3 linked regions of the Schizosaccharomyces pombe genome follow. Changing the gene in region 1 together with any one later gene gives a genetic interaction. Each region holds a gene or a part of one and is shown in the gene's direction. Other genes may lie near its edges.

Region 1 (3,600 bases):
CTTACCATAGTTATATGCTATGCAATTCGAGCAAGGCTGAAAAAGTTAGTAAAGAACAGAAATTTATATTTATTTCTAATCGCTCATCCAAATTAATGCAAATAAGATAGAAAAAGAGCAATAAAAGCCAAAAAAATAATAAATTAACGACAAAGGTTATCCGCATGCTCTCTAGCTGAACTGAAATCAATCAAGCTACAATCAACTTCAGAGAAAGCGGTAACTGGGTGAAGTGAGTTCTCAGTTCCCAACTCAAATAATAAAATTATGCAAAACATAAATAGAGCAAAGAAATTGACATCTTACCCTTCTCTGATCACATTTGATCTTTCTCCTGTGACATTCATCACATGCTCTAGAAACACGCTGTCTACGAGATACATCGCCGGAAGACATTCAGCAGCCTATCAATAAACTATGTTGAAGCCTGCTAACTTCAAACTTGAGGGAGAACAGGTCTTTTAATTTGTATTTATCGAATCGTTGTTACCGGTTTTTACAACCGAAAGTTAACGCAAGTGAGCAAAAATGCAGTTTATCATTCAAAATTTAACGCTTTGAAACTAAAGGAATTTGGTGCTTTAGATAGGTAAATAAATAAATAAATGGTGATCGCTGCGAAGCGATTATGGATGATATACGCGACAGGTTAAACCTACGAGAGTGTGTGCCAGCGATCGTATACATCCGCTAAATAGTAATTACTCGTTACTTCACGTTAGCATACATGTGTAGGTGAAGCAATGAGATTATACCATGCTAAATGTTTTTGTTGCGGTATGTTAAATATCGTTATAAGCCTGACATCTTCACGTGTGAGTTCTCCAATGAGTCCTGAAGCTGGAACCATCAAGCCGTTTATTGACTATTTTCAATATTACTGAAGAAAAAAGTATGGGAAATAAAGATCATTCAAGATCAAGTTTGTCTGTTCATGTAAGCCACATATTATTTATTATAATATCAAAGTCTCTCCGTGCCTGAGTTATGTTCGGTAACTGTATATTGCATAATACTTTCTGTTGTGTACCACACATTATAGTGCGCTACGAACTCACCAAATAATATTACGTATCCTACAGAGACTTCGCGAATCGCGTAGTTAGTAAAAATATGGAAAATAACGTGAGTAAACAGTTGAGCGTTAATATTGCAGCCACACAAAATCGGTTGATTGAAAGCGAAATAATGATTCGGAATTTCCATAAAACACAATTAATACTCTTAGTGTATTCATGTAATAGCTTGTACAGTTCTCAAAATAAATCTTCAGTAGACACGTTTTAAATAATAGGGTAATTACTAGGATATGCACGCGACCGTTAGACGCCATTACATGTGCAAAAAACACTGAGTGCTGAAAAGCTAAAATTATTACAAGTCTTGCAGAGTTATGATTGTTTGAGTTTTTTTTTTTTATAAGTTAATCCTACGCCAATATATTAAGAGGATTTTTTTAACTGCTTAGTATTTAAAAAAGTATATCGAAGATCCGGTATCTTGATTGTTTACAAAAATATAAATAGCAACGATAACAAAGACGCATTGTTGACAAAAATAAAAAATGTACAAATATTTAGAAAAATGTATATTTTAATTTCTATGTATCTAAAATGATGGTCAATATTAGTTATACCGTGAAGCGCTGGCAACGGAAGGTAAACGAATGTTGACAACAACAAACGAGTGTAAATAAACACACACCAACAGCACAATTGCTGTAGAAAGGAAAAATGACTGTTCGCAGACTCGAAAGCAAGTCTGAGCATATATCAGATGACGAGGAGAGAAAAGAACAGTTAGATTACAAAAAGCAAATGGATGTAGACACAGATCGTAACATTGTATTGAATGGTCGCCTGGAATCCCAAATTGCGAAGTTGTCCGTTCCACCTCACGAAATGAGAGTGGTCGATGATTATTCGAACAGTAAAAATGCGGAAAGACACTCTGGAGAAATACAAGCTTATGCGAAATTCGCTGGAAGTACATGGACTTATTATGTTAAGAAAATTCGAATTATACTTGGTCGCGAACCAGCAAATCCTTCACCAAAGGGGAAAAATGAAGATTTAGAAGTAATTGATATGAATTTTGGTCCTTCTAAAGTTGTGAGTCGAAAACACGCTGTTGTGGAATATGATTTGGATGACCAAACATGGAATTGCTCAGTTTACGGTCGAAATGGCATTAAAGTAGATGGCAAGTTATTCAAGAATGGGGAAACAGTCAAGCTTACAAGTGGGTATGTTAAAAATCATTTACTAGAATAGTGTTGGTTCGTCGTGATTTGCGACAGGACGGAATATTGATGGTTTCAGCAGCGCATAATTTATGCTTTACTCTTTCATAAGTTCTATGGTTTTCTCGTGTTATTTGTCAATTTTAAACGAATGTTTGGTTATTTTATAAATGCGCGTTAAGGATTTGTCAAATTATCAAGAAAATAATTATTTCCGTCCTAGTTCAAATAAATGCAGGAAATTATGCCAATTATTTTTTTTTATTTCTTTTTCGTCTTACTAATTATCTACTAGATCTATACTCGAAGTAGCGGGTTTACAAATGATGTTCGTACTACCCAATGCAGCTGAGCAAAAGCAAACTGACGAAAGCACTATAAAGGAGGATGCTATAAAGTCTGAAATTTCCGCAGCCGTAAACGATGCTGCTGAATATGGTGATAATAAAAAACCACCATACAGTTATTCTGTTATGATTGCACAAGCAATTTTATCTTCTTCTGAATGCATGATGACTCTTTCTAACATATATTCATGGATTTCAACACATTACCCATATTATCGCACAACAAAAAGTGGATGGCAGAATTCTATCCGTCACAATTTATCTCTCAACAAAGCATTTCGAAAGGTTCCACGGAAGTCAGGTGAGCAGGGGAAGGGAATGAAGTGGTCGATTGTGCCTGAATTTCGCGAAGAGTTTATTGCAAAGACTAGAAAAACACCGCGTAAACGCTCGCCCTCCTCTCCTGTGCCATTATTAGCAAAAAAGAGAGAGGGTTCTCCATCATTACCAATTCCCATCCTTCCGAAAATGAAGGACACCTCTATTCCGGCGGCGGAGCCAGCCTCATCCACTACATCTGCTCGTGATCAAACTCCTTCAACTCCTAAAGATGTGGGCTCACCCTCGACTGCTGAAACCTCAGCAGAAGAAAAGCAAATGGAAACCTACAAAACGCCTACACATGCTGCATTATCTGATATTATTAGCACCCATGATTATGCTTTAGATGCTAATAGTGCTTCTCAAACAAAAAAGGCTGCATTTGGATCTCCTATTGGATCTTCTACATATCCAACGTCTTCTCCTGCACCTTTTTGGAAATATGTTGCAGTTCCCAATCCACACGATTGGCCTCAAGTAGGTTCATATGACACAATTTCACCTTACAGAAATCCGGTCAATAGTCACTTGATATACTCTCAAATACAGCAATCTTCACCGAAAAAGATTGATGAACAATTACATGATTTACAAGGTGTTGATTTGGTCAATGGTTTTGAAGGGATTAGCTCCTGGAGAGAATCTATGGTAAATAAGTTACGCTCTTCAGTTTCCGACTCACCGACAATG
Region 2 (8,469 bases), 1.1 Mb from region 1:
CTTATTAAGGCTAAGAGCAATTAACAACTTTGAACCGACACCGTCAGTAGCACTAACCAACAATGGATCATTCCAGCCAGCTTGTTTGAGGTCAAAAATACCGCCAAAACCACCGATGTCAGCATCTGCACCAGGACGACGTGTAGATTTGACCAAATCCTTGATACGTTGAACAAATTCATTGCCATTATCAACTGAGACGCCTGAATTCTCATAAGTAAGGATTTCGCGTGTCTTTCTCTTAGGATTAAGAGCATGGTGGGCAATATCTTTACGGTAGAACATCTTATCAAAATGAACAGTTTTCACACCTTCGTAAGCTAATCTAACAGCAGCCTCAACTGAATCTCCCGTAGCCTCCACAGCAAGTACACGTCCTCCATTGGTAACAACATTGCCATCACGGATTGAGGTACCAGCATGAAAAATACGAGTATTTTTGTCTTTTAGGGCATCAAAAGTAATGATATCACCTTTATTATATGGTCCAGGATATCCACCGGCAACGCAAACAACAGCGCAACTAAATTTACGCGAAATGACAATATCTATAGCATCCAAGCGATGGTTCACACAGGCAAGGATAATCTCAGCCAAATCGGATTCCAAAAGGGGTAATACTGCTTGAGTCTCGGGGTCACCAAAACGAACATTATACTCCAAGACACGGGGGCCAGAGGGAGTAAGCATTAATCCAGTAAATAAAATACCTACTAATGGATAACCTTCATGACGCATTCCATCGATGGTAGGCTGTATAATGGTGGATTGGACCGTTTCAAGTAGTTTGGGGCTAGCTACAGGAGTAGGAGCATAGCAACCCATACCTCCAGTGTTGGGACCCTTATCACCATCGAAAGCACGTTTATGATCTTGAGCAGGAGGAAGCGAACGACAAGTATAACCATCAGAAAATGTCAAGATAGATAATTCTTCACCCTCCAACAGCTCCTCGATAACCACATTTTTACCAGCAGATCCAAACTCTTCATTTAACATGATGCTTTCTAAAGCTTCAAAGGCTTCTTTTTTAGTTTTCGGAATGATTACACCTTTTCCAGCAGCAAGTCCATCAGCTTTGATGACTACATCAAAGGTGCATGTATCCAAAAAGCTTTTTGCATGATCATAATTGGAAAAGGACTTATATACAGCTGTAGGAATATTGTTTCGATGCATAAAATCTTTAGAAAAAACCTTGCTACCTTCCATACGAGCAGCTAATGCAGATGGACCAAAGCATGGGATACCCACACGACGAAAATGACCTTCAATACCTTCTACCAAAGGGAGTTCAGGCCCAGGAATGACAAGATTTACATCTTTATCAAGCGCAAATTTGACAAGTTGCTCAAAATCGCAAACTCCAATGTTTACATTTTCCATCTTAGATTCCGCTCCATTGCTTGCAGTACCACCATTTCCAGGCGCCACGTAAACTTTGGAAATTAAAGGAGACTCACAAAGTTTCCATGCGATGGTATGTTCACGACCGCCATTGCCAATCAGCAACGCAATAATGGGTTCCATGCTTTCGTTACAGCGAGCAAGCTACCATTGCAAGTTAGTATCTAACACACTGACTGCAAAAAATAGTGACTTAAAACTTACAGCTATAATAAGAAGAAGCTCAAAAACGGCTTTTTTAATTAGCACGCGCTTGGTACTTGCTAGACTCCATTCGTGCAATTTCTGCTTAAGAGAAAATCTTGACTGTTATCTTTGTAATGTACAATATCGCTGCATCGTTTCAATATGCTCCGATTCTATAAAGTACTTAGTGTTGCGTTAATTTTCTTTAATTAAACATTCCAGATGCGAGCACAATTCGTTATATTACAGAACTTGTGTTGGTAGTTCATTAGAATAAAATTGGCGAAAAAAAAATTTCTCTTATATAACATATATAGATAATATATAACTGCAAACTGCATTTTGTTCCAGTTTTCCGGATTTCAAGTTGGTTTTGCGAAAAAGTGCGGGTAACATGACACTTTTCAAATCAAAATCAACTTAATAGATTAGGCATTCGAGTGCGTAATTTCGTATTCGAGTTAGGGGTTCGCTTATGGGGATTCCCGATGTGCACGAAATCTTTACCAACATCAAATTTTACCTTTTTCACAGCATTTTCAGCGCACGATAACACTCTTGTTAGCAATTTGATTGCGCACAATTTAACTTTTTATTGAGTGTGTCCGGTGATTTTGTCGTGTTAAATCGGGAATTAAAGGTAGTAAACATTGCAACTTTCTGGCAGCGAAAACTATTCTTTGCCTATATCTTCATAGAAAGCGAGGCTTTTTTGGGTTTTTCATTTCCTTCAAATTATCAACCTTTCTTTTTTATTGTTTTTACTTTTTAATTACGAGCAATTTGATTGTTGGGAATAGATACTTATTATTTTTTTGATCTGGAAATATTTTGAAAATTATCGGTTCGCGGTTATATTATTTTCGTAATTTTTGCATTTCTCTTTTTCCTTGTTTTTAAAATATTTCGTGCATATTAAAGCGATCTTTCAACTTGTTCCTGCTTCTAGCAAGCCGTACGATTATAGAGTCGGTTTTCTTCAAGTCAAACCGTTCATTATTTTTTACTATTTAACAGATATATATATATATATATTTAATTTTTATTAAAACAAACTCATTTCTTTTGTGGTGTTTGCTTTTTTTGTGAGAATGCAGAAATTTCAAATAAAAGTTCCAGCTTCGTCCGCTAACATTGGACCTGGTTTCGATGTCTTGGGAATGTCTCTTGAGGAATACATGACCCTTGATGTGGAAGTATCCACAGAAAGCGGACCTTGTGTCTTGACATATGAAGGAGACGGTAAGGAACACGTTTCCTTGGATGTCCAGAAAAACATGATAACACAAACCTCTTTATATGTCTTACGTTGCAACAACATTTCTACATTTCCCTATGCTACCAAAATACACGTTATAAATCCCATTCCTCTCGGTCGTGGTATGGGATCTAGTGGATCGGCTGCCATTGCAGGTGTTATGCTTGCAAACGAGATTGCAAAACTTGGTCTATCCAAACTGCAAATGATGGATTATGTTCTAATGATAGAAAGACACCCAGACAATGTAATGGCGTCCATGATGGGTGGATTCGTAGGTTCATTTCTCAGAGAACTATCTGAGGAAGAAAAGAATGCATTTTCTCCATCTGCTGATGATTTATTGAAAAACGAAGCCTTAACTTTACCTCCCAAGTCTTTAGGTACTTTTGCCAGGCTTCCATGGGCTTCTGAATTAAAGGCAATTGTCGTAATCCCTGAATTCCATTTAGCAACTTCTAAAGCACGGAGTGTGCTTCCTACTTCTTATGGTAGAACTGATGTGGTTTATAATTTGCAACGCTTGGCTTTGCTCACAACTGCGTTAGGCCAAACTCCCATAAATCCTCATTTAGTTTATGAAGTGATGAAGGATAAAGTTCACCAACCATATCGTGCTTCGTTGATCCCAGGCTTGCAGAACATTCTTGCAACTCTTAACCCTGACACTCAACCTGGTTTGTGCGGCATTTGTCTTTCTGGTGCTGGTCCTACCGTTCTTGCACTAGCAACCGGAAATTTCGACGAAATTGCCCATGCAATGCTTAGCATTTTTGAAAAACACGGTGTCAAGTGTAGATATTTAGTTCTTTCACCTGCATTTGACGGTGCAACAGTCAAATACTTTTGAATTGGATAACTATGAATAATGCGTTGCCGTATATTAACACGTGAATGAAGCATTTACATGTATTTGGGATTCCAATTATACCATATAATTATCATTCCTTTTTTTTATTTAATATCACGGTTTTTTTTGGTTTTTTCTTTTTTGAATAAAATATAGATACAGTTATAAAATTTTATGCTCTTAGATTATATCTCTTGTCCGATTTATATCTATCGGTAATTACGAAGACAAAAGCTGATTATATGTACAACACATTCACTGTGCTTTCTTCAAATTTTAAATTAGTGCTAAAAAAACATTGGTTTAATCGTAAGGTATATTTTGTTTAGTCAAGGTTAATTTCATTTAATACCCGATAAGATTAAAATCTAATCACAACAAAGGTGTAAGCTACAAAAGAACTTTTTAATAAGAAACAAACATTATAATTCCATTTAAATATACCTAATTTCGTGGTTACTATTCAATATGAAACCACAACATACCTGTCTTTTGTAAGGCCATGTTGCAAGTCTTCTAAAAAAATATAAAGAATAAAAAGACACATGGAAAAGACCATTCCATATCAAATAAGTAACGTTTACAAAAATATGCTATAACCAAGATAAATAGCACAGTTGTTTGATAAACTTATTATTAAGCTTAGTTTTTCTCCAATGAGCACAGCAATAAATATTCATTGTTCTTAGAATCATAGTAGCCCAACGGACCTTTTTCACAATCAGCACAAGCAAGTAATTTATAATTATTTGCTAAGGGTTTTGATACGCTAACGTTGTCGAAAGCAAACGGATCTTTTAGAAGAAAAAAATCGTCAGTTTCTAGATCTTCTTGTGTTTCAGAATGCAGCATAGCTGACATTGTTGGCCTCTTAACAACATCTGGACGTTTGTTATTAAATACGACTGAAGGGCAATGTTGACAAACAATTCGCAAATTCGACATAATTTAGGAAAACAATATGGTGGTAGTTAGTTAGTAGTAAGCGCCAATCAGCGTTTTTTGTGGATATAACCTATTAAAAAAATAAAAATACAAGAGAAAACTTTTAAAAGTTTAAATGCTAATTACAAGTTCTTCAAATTTAATTCAATACATGTAGCATTCATTTCCAAAATAGGTACTGACGTGTCTAGTGCAATGAAGATATGGAAAACAATGTTTTGCATTTTGACGATAGAAGCAAATCAATAATTAGACGCTGAAAACTTCTTTTTTTTTGACATGCTATTTGGTTTCATAAATTAACATGGCCTGGTTTTCACTATATTTAAACTTCACCACATAATTAGTAAGTTATTATAAAAGAAAACGCAAAAAATTTTTATTTGCTCGTCTAATGTGTTCTTGAATATTGTCTTTCTCTTAATGTTAAACGAGACATATCAGTTCGCCTGATGCATTGGTTCATATAGTAGTTATTTTCAAATTTAGAAATTCGGACACATAATTCTTCTATCCTTCTATGTTAAATACAGAACCTTTTTCTTTCTACTCAATTTGCTTTCCGTGTTGCAACCTTGACACATACTAAAACTTTGTACACAGTGGTTTTTGAACTTTCTTCTAGTAACTAAAATTTTAGAAGTACGGCATTGAAAGAAATATTGTAATCAAACTTTGAATGTGTGCAGACTGCAAAATTGGGAAATTAGCTTGGCACTTGCAATTTTCAATGTAAATGTGTAGGAATCGTGTGCCATCCCTTCAATTGTCTAATATTTTAATTGAAATCTATAGAACTACGCTATTTTTGCTCGAATTATTGCTACTATGATTACTTTGTCTAAATCCTTAATAAAAAGAAGTATTCTTGATTAGCTCCGTGAACTTCTCGATTCAGTTATGTGACAAAGAATATTATTAGCTTCCAAATATTGAAATATTATTATTTTATTAACTAAATGAGTTTCTAAGCCAAGTCAATTTATCAATCATCGTTATTGTTATTGTTGAAATAATACAAAAAATATAACGCATGCTATTGATTCTTAACCAAATGTATTAATCACCTAAAATTTGTCAACCACTAACTGATATGATTAGACTAAGCTCAACTTCAACTTATACTCTCTTTATAGCAATATTTAAGTTGCATGAACATCCGACGTTATTAAATATTTTAGTATGAAGATAATATTATAGCTATTCACTAAAAAAATATTTCATAACTGAAACTAGTGCCTCATTTCATTTAAATTTCTAATTATAGGACCTCAAAAAATAAAACAACGTTTTACTGTATGGTTAATACTATGGAACCAGAAATGTGTCAAATTAAGGGCATACTTAATGAAGGAGGATAATTGGCAGCTTAACGTATCATAACGTATACCCTTATTACTGTTAGTAAAATACTCACAACCCAACATCGTAATCGATTTTTCGGCTCTATGACATATTGTCACTAAAATAGAGGATCCGCTTTCACGAGGTGGAGATTTCTATCTCATCTCGTACACTCATATTTTGGCAAACGTCCAAAATTGGAGCAATTCGGAGCATTTGATACGAAAGGATATTTGACACGATTGTGTATCACTATTACAAATCTTAATATTTTTATGCAATATTAGTATCTCGTTGTGCATTTCTCTCGTTTCTGACAGCATCCAGTATTGAGTTTGTATCTTTTGCTTCCTATACTGTAATACCTATTTCTATAATTATTTCTGTCTTAGACTTAAGACTTTATTTTTGGTTGTAAAGGATTGTGAATTTAGAGCACCACACTTTCTTTCTTTCTTTTTTTTGTGCTTCGGAATCGTGCCTTGTCGTAACACTAGTGCGAGAATCCAAGGTCGGACAATTTTTTTTTTGTCCTTTGAGTACTATTATTATTAATTCTTTTCAAATCTTTGAATTTTGCAAAATACTTCATTCTTTTTGGTCCGCATACTGACAATCTATGTTTGTGTAAGTCCGGAGTATAGTAGTATTCACTATTACTATTATTTTCCCTTAATTGGTTTTCTCTTTTAATCATTATTATTATTGGCATTGCCATTATCTAACGGTGCTTTAATTTTTGTTTTATTATTCAATTTGTCTGAACATCTTCCTCATGAATTTTAATTCTACTAACCCTTATTATTTTACTCATGAAAAAAACCTTAACAATGCTTCTAAGTACTCTGAACTCCCAATTGCTTATCAGGAAATTCCTTTGCAATCTTTACCACCTTATCCCAAGGTTGCTTCAAAGTTGAAGGGCGTAGTTGCAGGCGGAAAAGAAAATAACATTGCATCTTTTCAAAAACCTTCTTCAAAAGCCACTCGACCATATATACCTTCTTATACTAGATTGACTTATTCTGTTCCTCCTCTTCCCATACCTCCTCCTTCGGAGCAATCTTTGGATACTATTATATATCGAAACCCTTCTGTATCTTCTTCTCAGTCTCAAGAACCGGAGGAGTTTTTCTTACCCCTAGATGATGGAAAGAAACCTCCTTATTCCTATGCTATGTTAATTGGAATGTCAATAATCCGTTCTCCCGATCGTCGTCTCACTTTAAGTGCTATATATGATTGGATCAGCAATACTTTTTCTTTCTATAATAAGTCCAATAACGGTTGGCAAAATTCCATCCGCCATAATTTAAGTCTAAATAAGGCATTCATGAAAATTGAACGTCCTAGAAATTTACCGGGGAAGGGTCATTTTTGGAGCATTCGTCCTGGTCATGAAGAACAATTTCTAAAACTAAAGCTGCGTAAACCAGGAGTAAATTCAAGACCAGCGCCTCCTGTTCAAGACGTTACCTCCTCTACAAAATATGGATCTTCTACCGGTTCCTCTGGATTTAACACGTTTAATACTTCTCCCCATATATTTAATCAGCGACATCAATATCTTCAGAATTATTATACTGCATCCTTAACGAACATTCCGACGATCTCTAATGTTAATGCCACAAATTTTCATCCTCTTCATAGTCAACAACCCTATGTAGATACCCCTGGTATCGATGCACCTTCTGATTTGGAAGCTAAGTTTTCCGATTTGGGTGTTTCCTCTGTCGTATCTGTAACTTCTCCTTTACAATCATGTACAAATTCTCCATCTCCTCCTTTGTCATCACCAGCATCCAGTGCTTCTCCATCTGAATCACTTAGGAATGAATCTTTGGGAATAAAGTCAGCTAAATCATTGGGTTTGAATAAAGATGATGCACCAGTAGAAGGTCCACCTGTATCACATTTGGAGAAGGATGTTGAAACCCCTTCAGTTCATGATTCCGTGTTGGGTTTTAATGACACTGTAACGAATCTCGGCAAGAAAGGTTTAAAAGATGGTACAACTAATACCCTACAGATCCCTGCAGTCCGTTTACCTTCTTTACCTAGCTCGCCTACCATAAAAAATCCCAGTGGACTTTTGCTAAAGCGATCAAATTCTATTGATTTTCCAACCCCCCCGAAGGCCTTGTGTCCTAAATTGTTTTGCTTTCGTGATGACATCGTGGCTGATGACTACACTAAGTTTTCTTTACTTTCACCCATCCGTTCTGATATGAGTGGTATCTCAGCAAGTCCGAATACAAATTTGAAGGAGCATCGAACTCGTATCTTGCAAATGCTGGCTACACCTGATGCAAAGCAATTATCATCTTTAACATCATCTGATGCAGAGTTTTGGTCAGTCACGCCTTTGAAGTCTTCAATTCTACGTAATGGAGATGCATCTAAACAAGTAACGCTATCTGAAAGTCCTAAAGGTGATAGCTTACTTGATGGAGGATCATTATCTTATTTTACCAATAAC
Region 3 (3,600 bases), on another chromosome or scaffold:
GACCCGGTCTTCAAACGTACGAGAAAATGATTGCTGGATGCTATTTGGGTGATATCTTGCGTCGTATTCTTCTTGACCTTTATGAACAGGGAGCTCTCTTTAACGGTCAGGACGTTACCAAGATTCGTGACCCCTTGGCCATGGATACCTCTGTGCTCAGCGCTATTGAAGTTGACCCCTTTGAGAACCTTGATGAAACTCAAACCCTATTTGAGGAAACCTATGGTCTCAAGACCACCGAAGAAGAGCGTCAATTCATTCGTCGTGCATGCGAATTGATTGGAACTCGTTCTGCCCGTCTTTCTGCGTGTGGTGTATGCGCCCTTGTTCGTAAAATGAATAAGCCATCTATGATTGTAGGTACTGATGGTAGTGTCTACAACTTATACCCTCGTTTTAAGGATCGTCTTGCTCAAGCATTTAAGGATATCCTTGGTGAGGAAATTGGCAGCAAAGTTGTTACCATCCCCGCCGAAGACGGTAGTGGCGTAGGTGCTGCATTGGTCAGTGCTCTTGAAGCCAAAGGCAAGGCCCTCACTTCTGATATTCTTGCCGAGCATCTTAAGAATTAAGTCCACTCATTGTTTTTAGGTTTTACGGATACTCATTTGATTTTGTGTCACTGAACTCCACGAAGTGTTCGACAAACTGTTTTATACTGCACTTTTTATTTGTTTCATACTCCATCTTTTTGCGTACAATTTGTTCCAGCAATTTTTATGGTTACACTTTTCTTTGTCTACTAATCACGTATCAGGGCGTTTTTACAAAAAGGTGCTCCACCTGATAAAATATTTTCTTTTTTGCTCTAGTGTTTCTGTGGATACGATATCTGCCTCTGATTGCTAGAATACTTTAAATAAAGGTTAGAGTTTTGTTATATTTTGTATGTTGAAGTGTAATAATAGCGGTATCTTTGTTGAAGATATCCGAGTTTAACAAGACAACTGGCTATACTATCTTGCGAAATATGCCTACTACGACAATAATGGTATCAACCCATAGCTACATAACATCGGGAGACTTTCAATGAGTTACACCCTCGTTTTCCAATTCGGAATGACAGTCCGAGTCCCGAAGTAGAGAGATTCATCGTGTTACGATTATTCGCTAACACCTGATAACATATTTTATCTCGCTGCTCGTGTTACATATCAGGAGTGCGGGTATGAGATTATGGGGATTTAATGGCTGTCAAGCAGGTTACCTGACGTTTGTTCTTATGTATTTGTTTACACATACACAACATTTGGCGTTGCTAGGGCAACAAATCAGACAAACTGCGGTGGATCGAATAGCTGAGATGTATGGACATGTAAACAAACATACAAGATGCAAAAATTTATGTGTTTTCATCTAGTTCAATGTTGTTAATGAAATGATTATTTGCTTTTATATAATTAATAGATTAAGAGGTGACATATTGTAGCTTGAAACGGCATTATCTACGCAACTAAACTATACAACAATAGTTGTCATGGCTGAGGTGTTGGCTAAGTATTACAGCTTACAGTTTAACTTTGCTTTAATCATGTATTTGTTTTTATTATTGTTTTCTGTTACTCGAATTTGTTGGTTGGTGTTTTATTGTTGTTGTTACCTTTGCTTTTTTTTCCTCTCGGAGGCAGAGCTGAGATTTCTCTCTACCCTCAACTATCTACAGCGCTTCAAGCTCTTCTCCTTTAGATCAAGTGTATTACATTGAAAATATTATTCTTAAGAATACCAAAGTTGTAAGTTTAAAAAGAACTTGATGCCTGTTAGTTTCGGGCATCCTTCTCTCCTCAAGTTGGATTCCTGTTGATGCTTCTCAAGTACTAACTGCTGGTTCAGTGATTTTTTGAAACGTCTATAATACAATTGCTTACGCTTTTTAAGGCAATTAATAGGATTCTTGAAGTTATTTGTTCAAGAAGCCTTTATATGGTAAAGTGGGGGGTTTATTACTTGTAACGAACTTTGAGTCTGAACTTTTGGGTATTCTGTTGTTTTCATATTAATCAACTGCTTTCTTTTAACTTTCTTTTTTCTTTCATTTTTTCTTTCAACGACAGTATCTTTTATATTCTATATTATAGTCGTGACCGTTGGTGCTCATCTATTTTTGTCTCATTAATCTCTTTTTTTTTATATACTTTTATTCGGTCTTCCCGTCGTGTGGAGTCTAAACTTACTTAAACTTCTTTCCGGTTTCTTTTGTAAAGGTTGGTTTTGTTTAATATTTGGCTATATTGCTTTCATCCTGTCTTTCTTTTAGTTTTCTTTTTGTCTCACTTTGGCATTAATATCTTAAACCGGTCTTTTGACTCTTCCCTAGGATTTTCCTTTATAATTTATCTTACTTGCTCTATTGATTTCTCATTCTGAAACTCAATCTTTTGCAGTCGTGTCGTCCCATTAGTTCTTTTTGCAGTGTACTTGGTTTAAATTAAATTTACCATTTTGTCTGCTTTTAATAATAGTTAAACCTCAACTAAAATGGATTCTCCGCTTTCTTCACTTTCCTTTACCAACACTCTATCTGGCAAACGGAATGTATTGCGTCCTGCTGCCCGTGAATTAAAGTTGATGTCGGATCGCAATGCAAATCAAGAGCTGGATTTTTTCTTCCCGAAATCCAAACACATTGCCTCAACATTAGTGGATCCTTTTGGAAAAACTTGTTCGACAGCTTCACCTGCATCTTCCTTAGCTGCTGATATGTCAATGAACATGCATATCGATGAAAGCCCTGCCTTACCGACTCCTCGTCGTACGCTCTTTCGATCTCTTTCTTGTACTGTAGAAACCCCTCTCGCTAACAAGACTATTGTTTCACCTCTCCCGGAGTCACCCTCGAATGACGCTTTAACCGAGTCCTACTTCTTCCGGCAACCTGCATCGAAGTATTCCATTACCCAAGATTCCCCACGTGTTTCCAGCACTATTGCTTACAGCTTTAAGCCTAAAGCATCAATCGCATTAAACACCACCAAAAGCGAAGCTACTCGTTCGTCATTATCGAGTTCTTCTTTTGATTCCTACCTTCGTCCTAACGTCTCACGTTCTCGATCATCAGGCAACGCACCCCCATTTTTGCGATCCAGATCGAGTTCCTCATATTCCATTAACAAAAAGAAGGGAACTTCTGGTGGACAAGCTACCCGCCATTTGACTTATGCCTTATCCCGTACCTGTAGTCAGTCGAGCAACACGACCAGCTTACTTGAAAGTTGTCTTACTGATGATACGGATGATTTCGAATTAATGTCTGATCATGAGGATACATTTACGATGGGCAAGGTTGCTGATTTACCAGAAAGCTCTGTTGAACTTGTTGAAGACGCTGCCTCTATTCAACGTCCCAACAGTGATTTTGGTGCTTGCAATGATAATTCTTTAGATGATCTTTTTCAAGCTTCACCCATTAAACCTATTGATATGTTACCCAAGATAAATAAAGATATTGCCTTTCCTAGCTTGAAAGTTAGGTCCCCTTCTCCGATGGCATTCGCTATGCAAGAAGATGCGGAATATGATGAGCAAGATACACCAGTGCTTCGTCGTACCCAAAGCATGTTTCTCAATTCCACAAGACTAGGGCTTTTCAAAAGCCAAGAT

Evidence for each region.
Region 2: of fkh2 (region 1) and sep1, a mutation in one rescues a mutant of the other (synthetic rescue), as found in Schizosaccharomyces pombe (2 studies listed by BioGRID, with this or other methods).
Region 3: mutations in fkh2 (region 1) and cdc25 are lethal when combined (synthetic lethality), as found in Schizosaccharomyces pombe (2 studies listed by BioGRID, with this or other methods).

Annotation. Positions count from the first base shown.
Region 1 is NC_003423.3:4,240,796-4,244,395, reverse strand, and holds the start of fkh2 (DNA-binding forkhead transcription factor Fkh2), read left to right. Parts: upstream 1-1,677; 5' UTR 1,678-1,733; coding exon 1,734-2,245; exon of another isoform or gene 2,246-2,537; coding exon 2,538-3,600. Other genes in the region: regulatory protein ntu1, read right to left, coding at 6-36, 307-396. UniProt on the Schizosaccharomyces pombe protein: Required for promoter sequence element PCB-driven, M-phase-specific transcription. Acts as a transcriptional activator with a role in the regulation of mitosis. Binds, cooperatively with mcm1, the CLB cluster regulatory elements throughout the cell cycle.
Region 2 is NC_003423.3:3,133,783-3,142,251, reverse strand, and holds the start of sep1 (DNA-binding forkhead transcription factor Sep1), read left to right. Parts: upstream 1-6,147; 5' UTR 6,148-6,765; coding exon 6,766-8,469. Other genes in the region: ade1 (phosphoribosylamine-glycine ligase/phosphoribosylformylglycinamidine cyclo-ligase), read right to left, coding at 1-1,530; thr1 (homoserine kinase), read left to right, coding at 2,685-3,701; dss4 (guanyl-nucleotide exchange factor), read right to left, coding at 4,344-4,646. UniProt on the Schizosaccharomyces pombe protein: Required for promoter sequence element PCB-driven, M-phase-specific transcription. Acts as a transcriptional activator with a role in the regulation of mitosis. Regulates septation and the periodic transcription of cdc15.
Region 3 is NC_003424.3:480,419-484,018, reverse strand, and holds the start of cdc25 (protein tyrosine phosphatase (M phase inducer) Cdc25), read left to right. Parts: upstream 1-1,645; 5' UTR 1,646-1,733; exon of another isoform or gene 1,734-1,833; 5' UTR 1,834-2,478; coding exon 2,479-3,600. Other genes in the region: hxk1 (hexokinase 1), read left to right, coding at 1-572.